Lonchura striata: one gene and its partner. The protein of the gene in region 2 binds, or shares a complex with, the protein of the main gene of each other region. Links are inferred from orthologs where the notes say so. Each region holds a gene or a part of one and is shown on either strand. Other genes may lie near its edges.

Region 1 (3,907 bases), on a different chromosome or scaffold from region 2:
TATTTCTACATTAGGCTTCTGCAGACTCTCTCTAATTCACAAAGTCCATCAATGCTCTATCTTCTAGCACCAAGAACCCATCCAGTCCCATTTGCAACCCACATCCAGAAAAGTCTTTTTTTGGAACCATACTCTAAAAGGACTTTGAAGTGCTCCAAAGCATTGGATTTCAGAAGTGAATTCAGGATTTTTATCTTCCCATACATCTTTGGTAAGAGCTCCATGTGTACAATGTACTCAGCATGCAGAGTCACCACGGCAGCAATGTAGTGTAATGCCCCCAGTTCCATGTAAAACTTATATTCTTGAAAAGAGAAAACAATTAAGGAAAAAAAAAAAAAGGAAAAATAAAAGCCATTTTCTTCTGGTTTTGTAGCATACATTCCTAGAATTCCCCAACGGAGTTTTAACTCCTTGAGGAAATCTGAAGTTAATCCTTAAGGCTGAATAAGAACCAGCTGCTTTAACAGTTTGTGCACCCAGCGTTAATTAATACTTGATTGAGTTTTTATGCAAATACTCGCTCCGGGTGGGGTTTTTGATTGGCCAGTCCCAGCTACAGGCTGTGACATGGCTAACGAGCTGCTTTGCCCTTTAAGAACTAATTATGGAAGTTTACATTCAGCGTCGATTCTCTCTCTCTCTCCCCTCCCCGCTCTCATTAGCAGTTCCTCAATGGGCCTCAGACATCCAACATAGTTCCCTTTCCTACAGGACTCCAGCAGCCCCGGGCCACAGGGAGGAGGCTCCAGCCACTCGCAGGAGCTCAGTCCAGGCTTGGAAAACCAAAGCAAGCAGTGATTTCCTCAAAATGGCCATTCCTGATGTCAGAAACGCCGGGCGCGAGCAGAGCTCGGCTCGGAACTCGCCGCCCTCGCAAGGCTCCAGCATGGAAAAAGAACAATAATAACAATAAATAACAATTTCCTCCTGCCTGTTGGAAAGAAACAGGAATCCCTTCAAGGTTTTGGTGTCTCCAGCTGCCTTGAGATGGAAGCGAGAGGCAAGTCAGAGCTGGACTTTTGCCAAAACATCTGATTTAAACTCAAACTCATTGCAACATTTTATTGCTGCATCTGCTGGAAAGGGCCTCGGCCCGAGGACCGACACCAAGGAGTAAAAAACTGCAACTAAACCTCATTTAGGACAAAAAAACCTGCCCAGTGCCTGCCCTGGAACTACAGCATCGCTCATGCCTGCTTTGCTAGGTGGTGTGGGGAGCTGGTTTTGCATCCCTCCTCATTCATGATGTATGGGTCAGAACTTCCCAGCTGACATTCCAAAGCAGATCTTACATTTCCCAGCGCCCGACACGCACTTTGAACACGTTACAGTGGAATTCCCACTCTCTGCCACTGCAGGCAAGAATTCCCCTCGTTAGCCTGAGCCGTGGGGCCAGACTGAGTCACTGTTTAGTTACAGATTAACAGAACTTTTTTTTTTTTTTAAAAAAAAAAAAAGTCCTTAATATAAAAAGACAGACTGCAGTTTGATTTTAAGCAACAATTTTCAGTTTACTAGATGAAGTCGACCTAGCAACATATCCTGCAAGAATGCAAAAAAGTAGCAATCTACAGCAAAGTGAGAGAAGAGAGAGAAAAAAAATATATATATAATCAAAAAAGTAGACCCAGGAAGCATACACTGAAAATGGACCCCCTCCCCCAACATCCCCCAAAATAATCAAACCAGCAAAGGGCTAACAAGAGGAAAAAGGAAAAAAAAAACCAACAAAAAAAAAAGTTACTTAGCAAGTCTATAATGTGTCCTTCCCCTGTTTGCTGGAAGTCTGCCATAGCATCTAGTGCCTGTGTTCGTGTCACATTCGGAGGTTAGAGCATCCTAACGCCAAGCAGGAGGAGTTAGAACAGGAATCCAGCCAAGGGTGCAGGAGGAAAGGGTGGCAACTGGAGAAAGGTGATCATAATCCTATGGATGCGGTTTTGTTTTACTTTCAGTAGAGAATCATTCTTCTGGAAAGCCACGTGGGTTATTTAATTTTTTTTTTTGTTTCTTTTTTTGTTTGTTTGTTTAAATTTTTTTTTGTTTTGTTTCTTTAATTCTTTGTAGACTAAATAGTTCCTCTCCCATTAGGATTTATAATTGGACGTTAACCACGTCAGCCCTTCGTAGAGTCCATCCCCCGTCGTGGCACAGGAGGGCTGCACATACCAATTCCTATCCCTGATCCGGGTCAGGCCCAGTTTCTCCTGGATCTCGTGGGGTTTCATGGCGTCGGGCAGGTCCTGCTTGTTGGCGAAGATGAGGATGATGGCGTCCCGCATCTCCCGGTCGTTGATGATGCGGTGCAGCTCCTGCCGCGCCTCGTCGATGCGGTCGCGGTCGGCGCAGTCCACCACGAAGATGAGCCCCTGCGTGCCCGTGTAGTAGTGCCGCCACAGGGGCCGGATCTTGTCCTGGCCGCCCACGTCCCACACGTTGAACTTGACGTTCTTGTAGGTGACGGTCTCCACGTTGAAGCCCACGGTGGGGATGGTGGTCACCGACTGGCCCAGCTTCAGCTTGTACAGGATCGTGGTCTTGCCGGCCGCGTCCAGCCCCAGCATCAGGATCCGCATCTCCTTGTTCCCGAAGATCTTGGACAGCACCTTGCCCATCTCGGCGGCATCCAAGGGAGGGCGAGAGGGCGAGCGCCGGCCCGGCGGGGAAGGGCGGGCGGGGCTCAGCGCGGGCCGCGCATGGGGCGGCGGGGAGGCGGCTCCGCTGCTCCGCCGGGCCCGCGGCGGCGGCTCCGCCCGCTGCTGCCTCGGCTCCCGCCGCGGCGCCTCAGCTCATGGGTACCGGCGGGAGGATCCCGCGGGCCGGGCAGCGCCGGGAGCGGCCGCGATGGCCCCGGGAGCGTCCCGGGAGCGCCCGGCCGTACCTGAGGGCCCCGCGCGCCGCCGCCTCCGCCCGCGCCGCCGGAAAGGGGCCGCGCGCGCCCGCGCCCGCTTCCGCCCCGCCGCCGCCCCGCGCATGCGCCCGCGCGGGCCCCGCCACGCCCGCGCCCCTCCTTCCGCCCGCGCCTTCCCGCCCGCCCCGCGCGCCTGCGCCGCCGCCGCCGCCCCGCCCCCGAGGGGGGGGCTCCGCGGGAGGGGGGGCGTGGCCTCGCCGCTGATTGGGCGGGGCGCGGCGGCGCGCGGAGGGGGCGGGGCCGCGGTGGGGAGAGGCGCCACGCGATCGCGCGTCAGCGCGGGGCGCGCGCGGGGCGCGCCTTAAAGGGGCAGCACCCGGCGGGACGGAGCGGCACCGGTACCGAGCCCCGTACCGAGCCCGGTACCGAGCGGGCCGTGCAGCCTGCCCCGCACCGGCGCTGCGTGCAGCGAGGGCGGGAAGCCCCGGCACCGCTGCCCCGAGAGGCTGCGGCTGCCCCTTGTCCCTGGCAGTGCCCGAGGCGGGCTGGGCACTGGGCCGGGAGCAGCCCGGGACAGCGGGAGGTGCCCGTGCCCTGCCCCGGGCCGGGCCGGGCCGGGCTGGGAGGTCCGTTCCAGCCCGAGCCTGCGGTGATTCAGTGCCGCGTCATCGGGTTTATGACTCCGCGCTGTCCTGGGTCACCGCCAGCGATCCCGGTGGGCGGAACTCCCCGGCTCAGCGCCCGGGGCAGCGGGCAGCGCTCGGGGCACGGCCCCGCCCTGGTCCCGAGCCGTGCCCGGCACGCCCAGCGCGGGGAGCCGCAGCTCTGCACGCACACGGCGCGCCCGGGGCCGTGCCGGGACACCGGGACACGGGAGCGGGGCCAGGGACACGGGCACGGCCCGGCTCCCACCGCTCCTGTGAGAGCCGGCCTGCGCTGGGGGATGCTCCCGAGCTCGGGGGGTGGATGGGGGAAGCAGCGCCTGGAACACAAATCCCACGAAATCGTGGAATCACGGGCTGGTGTGGGTTGGAAGGGACCTTACAGCCCATC
Region 2 (3,907 bases):
GCAGAAAAAGCAGACCTCAAGTTTATGCTACGACTTAAACCAGTTTTAGTAGTGGTAAATCCTTTTTCACAGTTGCCAAAGATTTCAAAAACAGCTTAATCCCACCAACAGCAGAAAAGCTAAAAGATATCCCAATTTGGCATAGCTAAATGGAGTAGATTTTTATCCTCTTCCCAAGTGCACACAAAACACATGCCAGCTACAAGTGCAGGTCTGAAACAGCACATTGCTGCAGAAGTAACTCTTATCAGGGTATACAATAGCAAAAGCACAAATGCTGGTTCCTCTTCCACTTCTTTGGGGCAGGCCTCACAGACTACCTCAGAGTCACCAAGTGGAGAACAGCAGAGCAGCTGGTTCCTCCATTCCTTCAGCGATATCAAAAAACCTACCAAATTAAAAGGCAGACAAGTAATTTTGCAGCAACTACAAAGATCAAAACTGTACCCAGAGGGTTGAGAAGTAGGCCCAGAACTTCTGTCAAGGTGATGGTAAAAAAAATTATTCCAGAAATCCACAGGCATCAACTTTTAAGATATTTTTAGTAACACTTTTTAAGCACAGGAAATAAAGAAAGCAAATTACAAAAATGGGGTAAGGAGACACCTACCCAAATAGTAAACTATTTAATGTGCATTAAGGTACTGCCACAAGTAAATTTCCTACAACAACAAGCAGAAAGTAGAAGAAGGTGTGTTAATTGCCCAGAGAAGCTGTGGTTGCTTCATCCCTGGATGTGCTTAAGGGTAGGCTGGACAGGGCTTGGAGCAGCCTGGTGTTGCAACAGTGTCCCTGCCCGTGACACAAACTTTAAGATCCCTTCCAACCCAAATCATTCATTGTGTGATTCTATGAACAGGTGACATTAAACATGGAGCTCAAAATTCTCAATTTTGCCACCACATGACACAGGCAAACCCCAAACAAAAGAAATGTGCTAAGCCAATAACTTTTTGTCCAATGAAATATTGTTAAATTTCTGTTCCCTCCTTTTATTTCAATCACATTGAAATCACATCAGGTTATCTCAGCATCAAAAAAATAATTCAACAACCATGCCTAACACATATGCCTCTCCTGAATACATCAGGCTGTACCAAACACTTCCACACCTGTACAGTGCAATGACCTCAGCACATCACAAAAATGACCTTTGTGCTTACCATGAAAATACAGTCTTTGGTCTAACTGCACTTTGGAAAGCATCAGCCAGGTGTCTTGCAGTATGAATGCTGGTTCTTCAACTGCACATAGCCTGTTCTCTCAAGTTAATTTATCATGACACAGAGAAATGAAGATGGCACTGAAGCACAAAACAAATACAGGCACATACAGTTCCTGAAAAGCTACAACAACAAACTTAACCCTATGATCTGTATCCTCACATAGGTACGGCTTCTGTCCTGCTGCCCAAGATCTGTTTCTGATCTTAGAAATGCTGCCTGCGCTTCAAGCCTGATGGATTTTCTCATTAATTAGTTCAGAAAGTATTTATCAATCCCTTCCTATTACTCTCAATGCAAACATATTTTCTAAAAGACCCTTTTACATTGTGCTAGAAATAGTGTGGCAACTCCAGTCCCCTAACTGGAGTCTATATGGCATCATAAAACCACCATGTGTTTGACAAGGAGGATGAATGACCTATCAGTCCAGGAGCTGGACCACAGTCCTTCACAACAAATGGAGTCCTGGAATAATCTGCAGACAACATTTTGCACTCACTTAGAAACAAACAAGTATTTAAACAGGGCTAATGTTTTTTAAATTAAGCTTTCACCGTTAATATTGTGTTCACCCTCAGTGCGGTTGTTCTTCTGATTTTTGGAAAATTTAGAAGGCAAACACAACCAGAGAGATTAGCACAGGACAAGGGGTCTGGAAATACACTTGTAAGATGGCTTGTTAATGTTAAACAGATAATGCTGCCAATCCAATTTCCTTCAGGAGTTTGGCAAGACAATGAGCAGGAGGAAGTTATCCTGCACAGCTGCTTCCCATTCTATTGCTTTATAATATCACATTAGATAATGCCTCACAAGCTTGCTTATGCTGAAGTGATTCTTGGTACCGACACTGAAATAAAAACATCTAACATCCAAAATCAGAGTCGACGTCACCGGAGAGTCCACACCACCTGTTGCTGCCTGCAGCTTTAAGCAGCAGCTCCGAGAGCTTCAGCCTAGACACTGCGTATTCCCATGGTTTTTGCGACGTGGTGTCACTATTTCCGCAGAAATGGACAACCCGCCTCCCTCCGCGGCCGTGACAGCGCAACCAGCGCCCGGTTCCGCGCTCGCTCCGCGGCCCCGGCGGCAGCGCAGCGGCTCCCGGGGATCCCTCCGGGACGAGCGGCTCAGGGGATGGCAAGCACACGGAGCCGCACGGAGCGGGAGGGATTCCTCCCTCCTCATCCTTCTGCGAGCCGCGTCTGGAGCCCAGCTCCAGCAGCCCGGGGCTGGCCGCCCGCTGCGCCCCGGGCAGGCCCGGGAGGTGCCGCCCGGCCCGGCGCCGCGCTCACCTCCTCGGCCTGTTTGCGCAGCGCCTTCTCCCGCTCGTACTGCGTGAGCAGCTGCTCGTTATCGTCCCGCAGCAGCTCCAGCTCCACGCTGGTCTCCTGGCTGTGCGCGCACACCGAGTCCAGGTTCTCCAACACGGCCACCACCAGCGGCATCAGCTCGGCCACCACCTCCTCGTCGTAGCGCCCGATGAGCCGCTCGAACTCGCGGTAGATGGAGCCCGCCAGCCCCGACACCCGCTCCGACATCATGGCGGGGCCGGGCCCGCCGGGATCCTCCTGGTACACCACGCCGTCCGCCAGCTCCATGGCGGCGGGGGTTGTGCGGGGCCTGGCGGGGCCCGGCTCGGAGCGGCGCCCGGCGGCGGAGCCTCGGCAGGGCCGGGCGGGAGCGGCGCGCGCCTCTGACCTCACCCGCCGCGCCGGGCGGGGCTGCCGGGACGGCGGGCGGGGCGGGGCGGGCGGGGCGGGCGCGGTGACGTCACGGGACGACAGGTGATGTCACGGGGCGGGCCCGCGTGAGGGGGCGGGCCCGCGTGAGGGGGCGGGCCCGCGTGAGGGGGCGGGCCCGCGTGAGGGGGCGGGCCCGCGTGAGGGGGCGGGCCCGCGTGAGGGGGCGGGCCCGCGTGAGGGGGCGGGGCCGCGGCTGCGTGTGGGGAAGATGCGGGCGGCGGGAAGGGCTGCGCTGTGGGAGGCGCGTTAGGGGTCACCCAATCCCGGCAAATCACCCAATCCCGGCAAATCACCCAATCCCGGCAAATCACCGAATCGTCGGGATTGGAAGAGACCTTTAAAAGGGCAACAAGGCTAGGGAAGGGTTTGGAGCCCGCTTCCCGCGAGGAGCGGCTGAGGGAGCTGTGGGCAGCTCAGCCGAGAGAAAAAGGCTCAGGGCACATCTTATCCCTCTCTGCAGCTCCTCCTGTCAGGAGGGTGCAGCAGCTGAGGCCGGGCTCTGCTCTGAACCAGGGAGCGAGGACACAGCCCTAAGCTGTGCCAGGCCAGTTCAGGTTGGACATTAGGAAGAAATTCTTCACAGAATGAGTGATTGTGCATTAGAATGGGTCCCACAGGGAGGTGTTGAAGAAAAGACTGGCTGACAATCTGGCTGACAAGGTGGTGTTGGGTCAGGTTGGACTGGATGGTCTCAAAGGTCTTGTCCCACCTAGTTCATTCTGTTCTGTCACCCAGTCTGACCATGCACCTGGCACTGCCACTGTAACTCCTAAACCAGTAAACCACATTGCACAGTGCTGGGTATGCCTCTTAACCACTGTGGTGATTCCACCACACCCCTTCCAACCCCTGACCACACAAACAGTAAAAATAAAATTTTCTAATATTTAATCTGAATCTCCCTTAGTTTAAGACTGTTTTCTTTGGTCTTCTCTC

The links.
Region 1: the proteins of SPAG9 (region 2) and ARF6 are in contact, whole or in part, in a crystal structure (PDB 2W83), measured with the Homo sapiens proteins. The link is inferred for Lonchura striata from reciprocal best matches to the Homo sapiens genes SPAG9 and ARF6. Residues at the interface, in NP_001124000.1 of Homo sapiens: Lys431, Asn432, Ile435, Val438, Asp439, Thr442, Cys443, Asp446, Val447, Gln449; in NP_001654.1 of Homo sapiens: Glu13, Arg15, Lys34, Phe47, Val49, Glu50, Thr51, Thr53, Lys58, Asn60, Trp62, His76, Tyr77, Thr79.

What each region holds. Positions count from the first base shown.
Region 1 is NC_134608.1:1,969,870-1,973,776, reverse strand, and holds the start of ARF6 (ADP-ribosylation factor 6), read right to left. Parts: upstream 2,701-3,907; 5' UTR 2,619-2,700; coding exon 2,091-2,618; 3' UTR 1-2,090. UniProt on the Homo sapiens protein: GTP-binding protein involved in protein trafficking that regulates endocytic recycling and cytoskeleton remodeling. GTP-bound form plays an important role in the transport of multiple palmitoylated proteins form the Golgi to the plasma membrane.
Region 2 is NC_134621.1:6,224,794-6,228,700, forward strand, and holds the start of SPAG9 (C-Jun-amino-terminal kinase-interacting protein 4), read right to left. Parts: upstream 2,903-3,907; 5' UTR 2,828-2,902; coding exon 2,522-2,827; intron 1-2,521. UniProt on the Homo sapiens protein: The JNK-interacting protein (JIP) group of scaffold proteins selectively mediates JNK signaling by aggregating specific components of the MAPK cascade to form a functional JNK signaling module.